Linked DNA regions of Lonchura striata. The protein of the gene in region 2 interacts with the protein of the main gene of each other region in a pairwise test. Links are inferred from orthologs where the notes say so. Each region holds a gene or a part of one and is shown on either strand. Other genes may lie near its edges.

Evidence for each region. The genes of interacting proteins can lie anywhere in the genome.
Region 1: the proteins of keratin, type I cytoskeletal 19-like (region 2) and ZGPAT interact in binary tests that used the Homo sapiens proteins (3 or more experiments, as listed by UniProt). The two-hybrid records come from large-scale screens. The link is inferred for Lonchura striata from reciprocal best matches to the Homo sapiens genes KRT15 and ZGPAT.

Annotation. Positions count from the first base shown.
Region 1 is NC_134619.1:7,098,262-7,102,009, reverse strand, and holds the start of ZGPAT (zinc finger CCCH-type with G patch domain-containing protein), read left to right. Parts: upstream 1-1,525; 5' UTR 1,526-1,940; coding exon 1,941-2,584; intron 2,585-3,266; coding exon 3,267-3,400; intron 3,401-3,748. Other genes in the region: ARFRP1 (ADP-ribosylation factor-related protein 1), read right to left, coding at 241-333. UniProt on the Homo sapiens protein: Transcription repressor that specifically binds the 5'-GGAG[GA]A[GA]A-3' consensus sequence. Represses transcription by recruiting the chromatin multiprotein complex NuRD to target promoters.
Region 2 is NC_134627.1:6,767,879-6,771,626, forward strand, and holds the start of keratin, type I cytoskeletal 19-like, read left to right. Parts: upstream 1-1,080; coding exon 1,081-1,608; intron 1,609-2,095; coding exon 2,096-2,178; intron 2,179-2,975; coding exon 2,976-3,132; intron 3,133-3,418; coding exon 3,419-3,580; intron 3,581-3,718; coding exon 3,719-3,748.

The DNA.
Region 1 (3,748 bases), on a different chromosome or scaffold from region 2:
ACCACTCTTCTTACTCCCTATTTTAGCAAGAAAAGAAGGGATCACATGTGATTATGGGATTACCAAAGCCTCAGCCACATCCCTCCCTGAAAGCTTGTACTAAATTTAAGTAATGAGGAAAAGTTGATTGCTTGGTGTGACATCACTAAAGTAACTCAGGATGACCCTTGCTGGAAGATTTATCCCTGGAGGATGTTTAGGATTGTGTGTGCCCTCCACGGAGTGATAAACAGCACTTACAGTTTTACCAGCATTGTCCAAACCCAGGATCAGGACACAGTACTCATCTCTCTGGAACATGTATTTATAGAGCCCTGACAGCAGCGTATACATCCTGCTCCTGCAACAAATGCCAGGAAATCAATTAACAAACAGCTTGTTCCCAAAAGCCTCTCATGCCACAGCACAAGTTTTTCCCGATGCCAGACAAACAAACGATGTTACTCTTTCATCAGTACCTCTCATATTTAGGCAATCCCAGGAAAAATCAGAGATCTAAGAGAGATCATGAAAATAGCTCACAATCAAATTTGGGGTTTAAAGGGGAACTGAGGAAGGACTCAAACACCTCTTGCAGTAAATGTAAGACCCACAGAAAATGAAGTGGGCTCACACAAATACAAAGAGCAGGTATTTGGAGCAGGGATCTACAGAAGCTCAGAGCTGGGTGCGCACACAGAGGCACAGGGATGCAGGGAGCACTGGCAGCAGGCGCTGCAGCTGACTCACGGGCATTGCAACACCCCTTCTGTTCGAACACAGATAAAGGGAACCTCCAGGCACAGCCTTTGAGAGGCAGCTGCCTCTAAGCAAGCGCGTGGTTAAACAATCACTTTGAAGTCCAACACCATTACCTAAAGGGAAATAAAAGCGTTTCAAAGCAGGAATCGGATGGGGGTTTTACAGTAAGGGAGGACAGGGCACGAAGGGGCTTCAGTCCCACAGGTACCGGGGCCGCCCTTGGCCCCCAGCTCCTGCCGTGCCCCGGGCAGGGGGAGCCCCGGCCGCTCCCCTCTCGGGACAGCCACTGACCCCGGGACAGCCACTGACCCCAGGCCAGCCCGACCGCCGGCCTGCTCCTCCCTAAGACGGGAGATCCTCCATAAGATCCGGGATTTCTCGCCCTTTCCCTCCCTGTCACAGCCAGTGACGGCTGAAGGAGATCACCGGCCCTACCGCCATTTCCCCCTAATGGCCCCGCGTCACGTCCCGGGCCAGAGACAGGTCCCGGCCCGAGCTCCCGAGGGCAGCGGGCGAGGAAAGAGCCTCGAGCCCGAGCCCCGCGGCCCGTCACCTGATCCGGTGCCGGTGTCAGCGCCGGAGCTGGAGTCGCCCCTCACGACTCCCCAGCGCCACCAGCCACCGCCATTTCGCGCCCAGGACACTGGGAAATGTAGTCCTGTCGCCGCTGCGGTGGCGGTGCGGATGGTGTCTGTGGACTACAACTCCCGGAATGCCCAGCGCCCGGTACTGCGTGGGTGACGCGCTGCGAGCGCAGCGGAAGTGGGGGCGCTGCGGCCGGAAGAGGGGTGTCATGGCGGGTGCCATGGCGGCGGCTCGCCGGGACTGAGGCTGCTGAGGGCGCGGTGCGGCCGCCGAGGGGCCAGTGGCGGCTCAGGGAGGTGCCGCAGCTCTGGGGCTGAGGGAGCGCCCAGGCTGCGGGAGGAGCGGTGCCGTGCGGGGGCCCGGTGGGCGAGAGTGGACTCCGTGGCGGTGGAGGGCAGGGCCAGGCCCGGCCTCTCCTCGGACTCTCCCGTCTCCTCTTGTCGTCTGTTTCCAGCAGGAGCATCGCCCTGGGCATTTCCGAGGGAAAGAGCGGGACGGCGGGTAGATGTCGCTTCTGCAGGCGAGGACTTGTTATCCCAAAGTACTTGAGTAAACTCTGAATGTTTTGAGTTCGTGGAGAGAACGCGGGCAAAAGCGCCTTTGTTGTGCTGAAAATGGATGAAGAGAGTCTGGAAGCAGCGATCCAGACCTACAACGCCCAGCTGGAGCAGGTGGAGCTAGCGCTGGGGGCGGGCCAGGACCCATCGCAGCAGTCGGACCTGATGCAGCTGCAGGAGGATTTGAAGCAGCTGATAGAACTGACCGAGTCCAGCCTGGTGGCTGTGAAAAAGAGCAAACTTCTGGCCACTCTGGACACAGATGCCTCCTCCTCCTCCCCAGCAGGTCTCCCAGGGCAGGATTCCCACCGGGAGAGCTCTACCCAAGATGAGGAATACGCTGCTTTTAAGGAAGCCATTGCTGGGCTTGGAGCAGATGAGGAGCCTGCAGCTGATGGCAACGAGATCTCCTCGGAGAGAGAGGGAGAAACGGGGGATAAACCCAAATCCAAGTGCAGTGAAGAGGAGGAGGAGTCTGAGAGGGAGGAGGAGGAGGAGGGGTTGAGCGGGATGAAGGTCAAAGCCCCCTACTACAGCTCCTGGGGAACCCTGGAGTACCACAATGCCATGATTGTGGGGACAGAGGAGCTGGAGGACGGCAGTGCAGGGGTCAGGGTGCTCTACCTGTACCCCACCCACAAGTCCCTGAAGCCCTGCCCCTTCTTCCTGGATGACAAGTGCAGATTTAAGGAGAACTGTCGGTAAAGAGAGAGGGGTGGGAGAGGCCTTGTCGTTCAGAGGGTTAATCCTCCTCCTCAAGTGCTCTGTGGCTTTCTTACCCAGGGAGATTGTGCCTTAGTGTTTTTAAAATGTGCTGTGGTGAGCAGTGGCACCAGTTTGGCTGCTCTCTATAGCTGATGCACAGATGAAGTGGAAAATCCTGTGGGAAAGATGCAGAGATGTTACATAACTGAGTGGCTGAATTAACGACTGATGAAGTATTTTAAAACAAAACACCCAAGTCTGTGGGTAATGCACACATGGCAGTTGCACAGGGAGGTTGTATAGGCTCCATTTTTGTGGATCTTCACCAGGATCAGCCCCAGTGAAGGTGCTGGGCTGGAGCTGGGCTGAGATCCTCGCCTTTGTGAAGGTGCTGGAGCCCTGCCTGTCTCTGATCCTGTTTATCCCCATAGTCAGGAACTTTTTAATTGGATGTGTCACTAGCAAGGAAGTTTAATTCTCTGGGGTGAGACACATTCTTTGTACCATGACATAAATAACATGTTTAAAGTGAAACATGAACAACTTTATAATTACAACAGCACGTGGTCACACCTTCCTGATTATGGTGAAGGTTCCTCACCTCTGACACTCGTGTGCATTTCTTTTGAGGAAGGAAGGGATTTTCATTTGAAAACTCCTGTTCCTCCTTCCCTGCAGGTTTTCCCATGGTCAGGTGGTGTCCGTAGAGGAGCTCCAGCCATTCCAGGAGCCCGACCTGAGCAGTCTGGGGGTGGGCTCAGCCTGCCTGGCCAAGCACAGTGATGGGATCTGGTACACGGCCAAAATCACCGGTGAGGGGGGCAGGGGCTTGCCCAGGGGGAAGGTGGAGGCTGAGGCTTATGTGGGTCTGTAACTTGGCATTGTGGTTAATGACAGAAAAACATAAACTCTGTGGCAAGATCTTGACCTAGCTGAGGAAACTGTCTGAGTTTTGTGAGGCTAGAGAGAATTGGCTGGGAAACAGGAGATACAAAGAGCAAGAATGTGGAAAGGAAATGACTACGAGGTCATTAACTGCTCCAGGGAAGAGGGAGGGACTGCAGGAATTTACATGTATAGTAGGTGAGAATGGCAGTAATCTGTCTTGTTTAAACAAAAACCAGGGGAGCTGGCCCTGCCCAGCAGCTGCTGATACAGGC
Region 2 (3,748 bases):
CTCTTCAAACCCCATGCCCAGCAGGGCACACGGGTAGCTCTTGCTTCCTCACACGCTGCCCAAATCTGTCTTCCCTGCAGGGTGAACAGGGCTGAATGAATGAATTCCTGAATTTCACTGGCAATTTATCAGCTCAATTATGTATTTCTGTTTAGACTCCTGCTTTAAATGAAGGATTAAGGTGCCTCTTTGAGTGTTTCTCAAGACTTATTTTCAAATACTACTCCATTTCCTTAAACACATTGGCATTAAACACATGTATTGCTATAAGAACAGCATTATCTTAAACCCATTCTCTTTATATTTTCTGTACAGTAACAGGATCTTAGTCCTCCCACATTTACTCTTTTAACTGAGTTGTTTCGAGCTGTGATACCTTTCTGAACTATTTCATAATGATTAATAAATTTACTGTTTCCACTCTCCCTTGCACACTGATGGATGCTGATTGTTCCTCACATAGTGCCATGAATAGATGCTTTTTGTAATAAAAATTCAGACTCCAAAAATCTAAATATTAGTTCCAAGAAAAAAATCAATAAGAACATTTCTAATTCAATTCCAAAATTTTAAAGGAAAAAAATACAGATAGAAAAGGAATAATGGTGAGATGAAGAGATGATTGTACATTTTTCAATGAAAAGAGAATTTTATTTAAGCCTCAATTTTAGAAAAAGTTGATTTTCTGAAGGTAGCCATGGTAAGCATTGTAAATAGGTAAGTGGGTGGGGCTGAACTCACTTTGTTTTTCCATTCTTAAATGTCAGAGAAGTAAACTCCAAGTTTCAGAACTATAGCCTGAAGAAAAAACATCATCTGATTCATGCCTTTTGTTTAATTAAAAAAAGAAACCCCAAGCCCAAGCCCCTGCGATGTGCTGCCAGCACTGCTTGTCAGGAATGTCATCATAGCTGGCCTCACCTCTAGGGAGGAGGAATTTTGGAGGGAGGGCTGCAGTGGGGTTTGTCTCCCAACGCCCGATCGTGAGCATATAAAAGAGGCACGAGGGCAGTGAAGGCACAGGCTGTCTTCTCTTGCCGGGCTGCATAACTGACCCTTGCTCCTGCTCTTGCTTCAGCCATGGCCACTTCCTTCATGAGCTCTTCCTCCACCTACGGGGGTGGCTTTGGGGGCGCCGGGGGCAGCAGCTCTCGCCTGTCCTCGGTGCGCGTCGGAGGCACCTGCCGGGCCCCGAGCATCCACGGCGGCTCTGGCGGCCGGGGTGTCTCCATCTCCTCAGCCAGGTACGTCTCCTCTTCAGGAGGAGGCTGCGGCTTTGGCGGGGGCTATGGAGGAGGTTTTGGAGGGGGAGCAGTCTGTGGCTTTGGAGGGGGCTCTGGCTTTGGAGGGGGCTCTGGCTTTGGTGGAGGATTTGACTTCAGTGGTGGCTTTGTTGGTGGCGATGGCCTCCTCTCTGGCAATGAGAAGATAACCATGCAGAACCTGAATGACCGGCTGGCTTCGTACCTGAACAAGGTACGAGCCCTGGAAGAGGCCAATTCAGAGTTAGAAGTGAAAATCCGAGACTGGTACCAGAAACAAGCTCCCACCAGCCCCGCCCGTGACTACAGCAATTACTACAAGATAATTGAAGAGCTCCGAGACAAGGTATGGCATTCATATGTAGAGGAGTTTTAAGAAGGCAAGAGAATTTTGGAACTGCATGTTCCATGTCTTTAAAATAATTACAAAAGAAGTAGTGAATTCCTCATCCCAAATACATCGAGGTCCAGAGCATTCTAGCAGAATGGAGTAGCCTCTTCTCAATTTAAACACAAATATCTTACCCTGACAATGTGATGTTTGTTGAAATTAAAATGATTGCAGTAAAAGTTAGCAAAATGTGTTTAGAATTATCAATATATTTATTCAGAAATCAAATAGTAAAGAATGTGACAGGTAGGCCTCAAAGACTGGAAAAATAATTCACCTGGCTACAGATAAGATCAGGTATAGTACAAACACATTTCCCATTTCCCTGTGGTTCTAATTTGTCTTGCATGGAGTATCACAGCTCTCTGGTTTGCTCATGGAATGTGGATCAGATATTTTACCATTATTCACAGGAATTTTTCTCTCTGTTTCTAATTGCCAGATCCTTGCTGCTACCATTGACAATTCCCGGGTCATTTTGGAGATTGACAATGCCAGGCTGGCTGCTGATGACTTTAGACTGAAGTAAGTTCACCTGAAGCTCATTTGTCTTCACTCTACTTGTCACTCTCTCTAAACAGTTTTTTCTTTAGTAACTTCAATACAAAACATCCTGGCAAGCAGAATCCATTGATGAAGGACCAATTCAGAGTATAAACCTGACAGAACACAGCATTCAGATCACTGAGCTGTTTGCAGGATCAGTTATAGCCTGTGTCTTCATTTTTTTGTGACACTCAAATATTTTTACTAGCCTGAATCACAGGGGAAAGAAGGCAGGAATAGGTGGGATTTTCACTTAGAAGGAACTGAGTGGGAGGAAGAGGTTGCTGTGGGGCTTCAGCATTTCTCTGCTGGAGTCTGAAATTTAGAGTCAGGTGGGGCTTTTGCAGCTCCCAGGCTCAGCAGCACATCAGATGATAAAGGTCCATGTGCAGCTGCCTTCCCGGCAGGAATGCACCTGCAGGTTTCTCTTTTCCCTCCTGTGTCCCCGGCAGCCCTGCCCCACCTGTGCTTTCCTACACAAATCTGGGATGACACTGCAAAACTCCTGTCCTGTGTGACAATGTTTCTATTGATGCTGATAATCAGTATTATGTTCTGCAAGGTGAAATGTCATGTCTCCCTCAAGAACAAAATCATATGGCTTTGTCTGTGCTTCCTTTATGCTGTATCTGGATATTGGAACAGCTTTATTGCTTTTACACTTCTAAATCTGTATCATCTACAGTCCACTGTTGCTCCCATATGTGATCATTTTATAGCTCTGTTGAATACAACCACAGAAACATTCCAGTGCTTGTTTCTTTTTTGAACTGCAGGTATGAGAATGAGCTGTTCCTGCGCCAGAACGTGGAGTCTGACATCAACGGCCTGCGCCGGGTCCTGGACGAGCTGACCCTGTCCAGAACTGACCTGGAGATGCAGATTGAGACACTGAAGGAGGAGCTGGCTTATCTGAAGAAGAACCACGAAGAGGTGAGAGTCCTGGCAGTGCATGGAGATCACTCCCCTTTGGATTTTAGCTCTTGCAAATGAAACATACATGTAAGTCACATGTAAATACGTGTGTCCTGTATGAGTACACAGAGATAGGGAAGCTGTTGTAATGAGAGAGAAAATGTGATAAGTGTTTTATGTGTGCTCCATCTGTGATACTTGATAGCACAGGTACTGTGTACCACAGCAGGGATTGCTGCGGGCAGGAGCAGTGTGAGAGGAGAGAGCCTGATCTTTTTGTGTCCTCTCTCTGCTGCCCATGCAGGAAATGAAAGAGTACTCGAAGCAGCTGAGTGGAACAGTCAATGTGGAAATGGATGCGGCTCCTGGCATCGACCTGACCAAAGTTCTTGCTGAGATGAGGGAACAGTATGAAGCTCTGGCTGAGAAGAATCGTAAGGATGCTGAGGCCTGGTTCTTCACTCAGGTATGGTCACACCAATGAACAGCACAGCAATGCACTGCCTCAGCATTACTGCCTTGGCAGGTCCCTACCACCCTTTCTCAAAATTATGGATTTTTTTAATACATTTGTATGTGATTTTACAGTTGTTTTTCCTTTCAGACTGATGAGCTGAACCGTGAAGTTGCCACC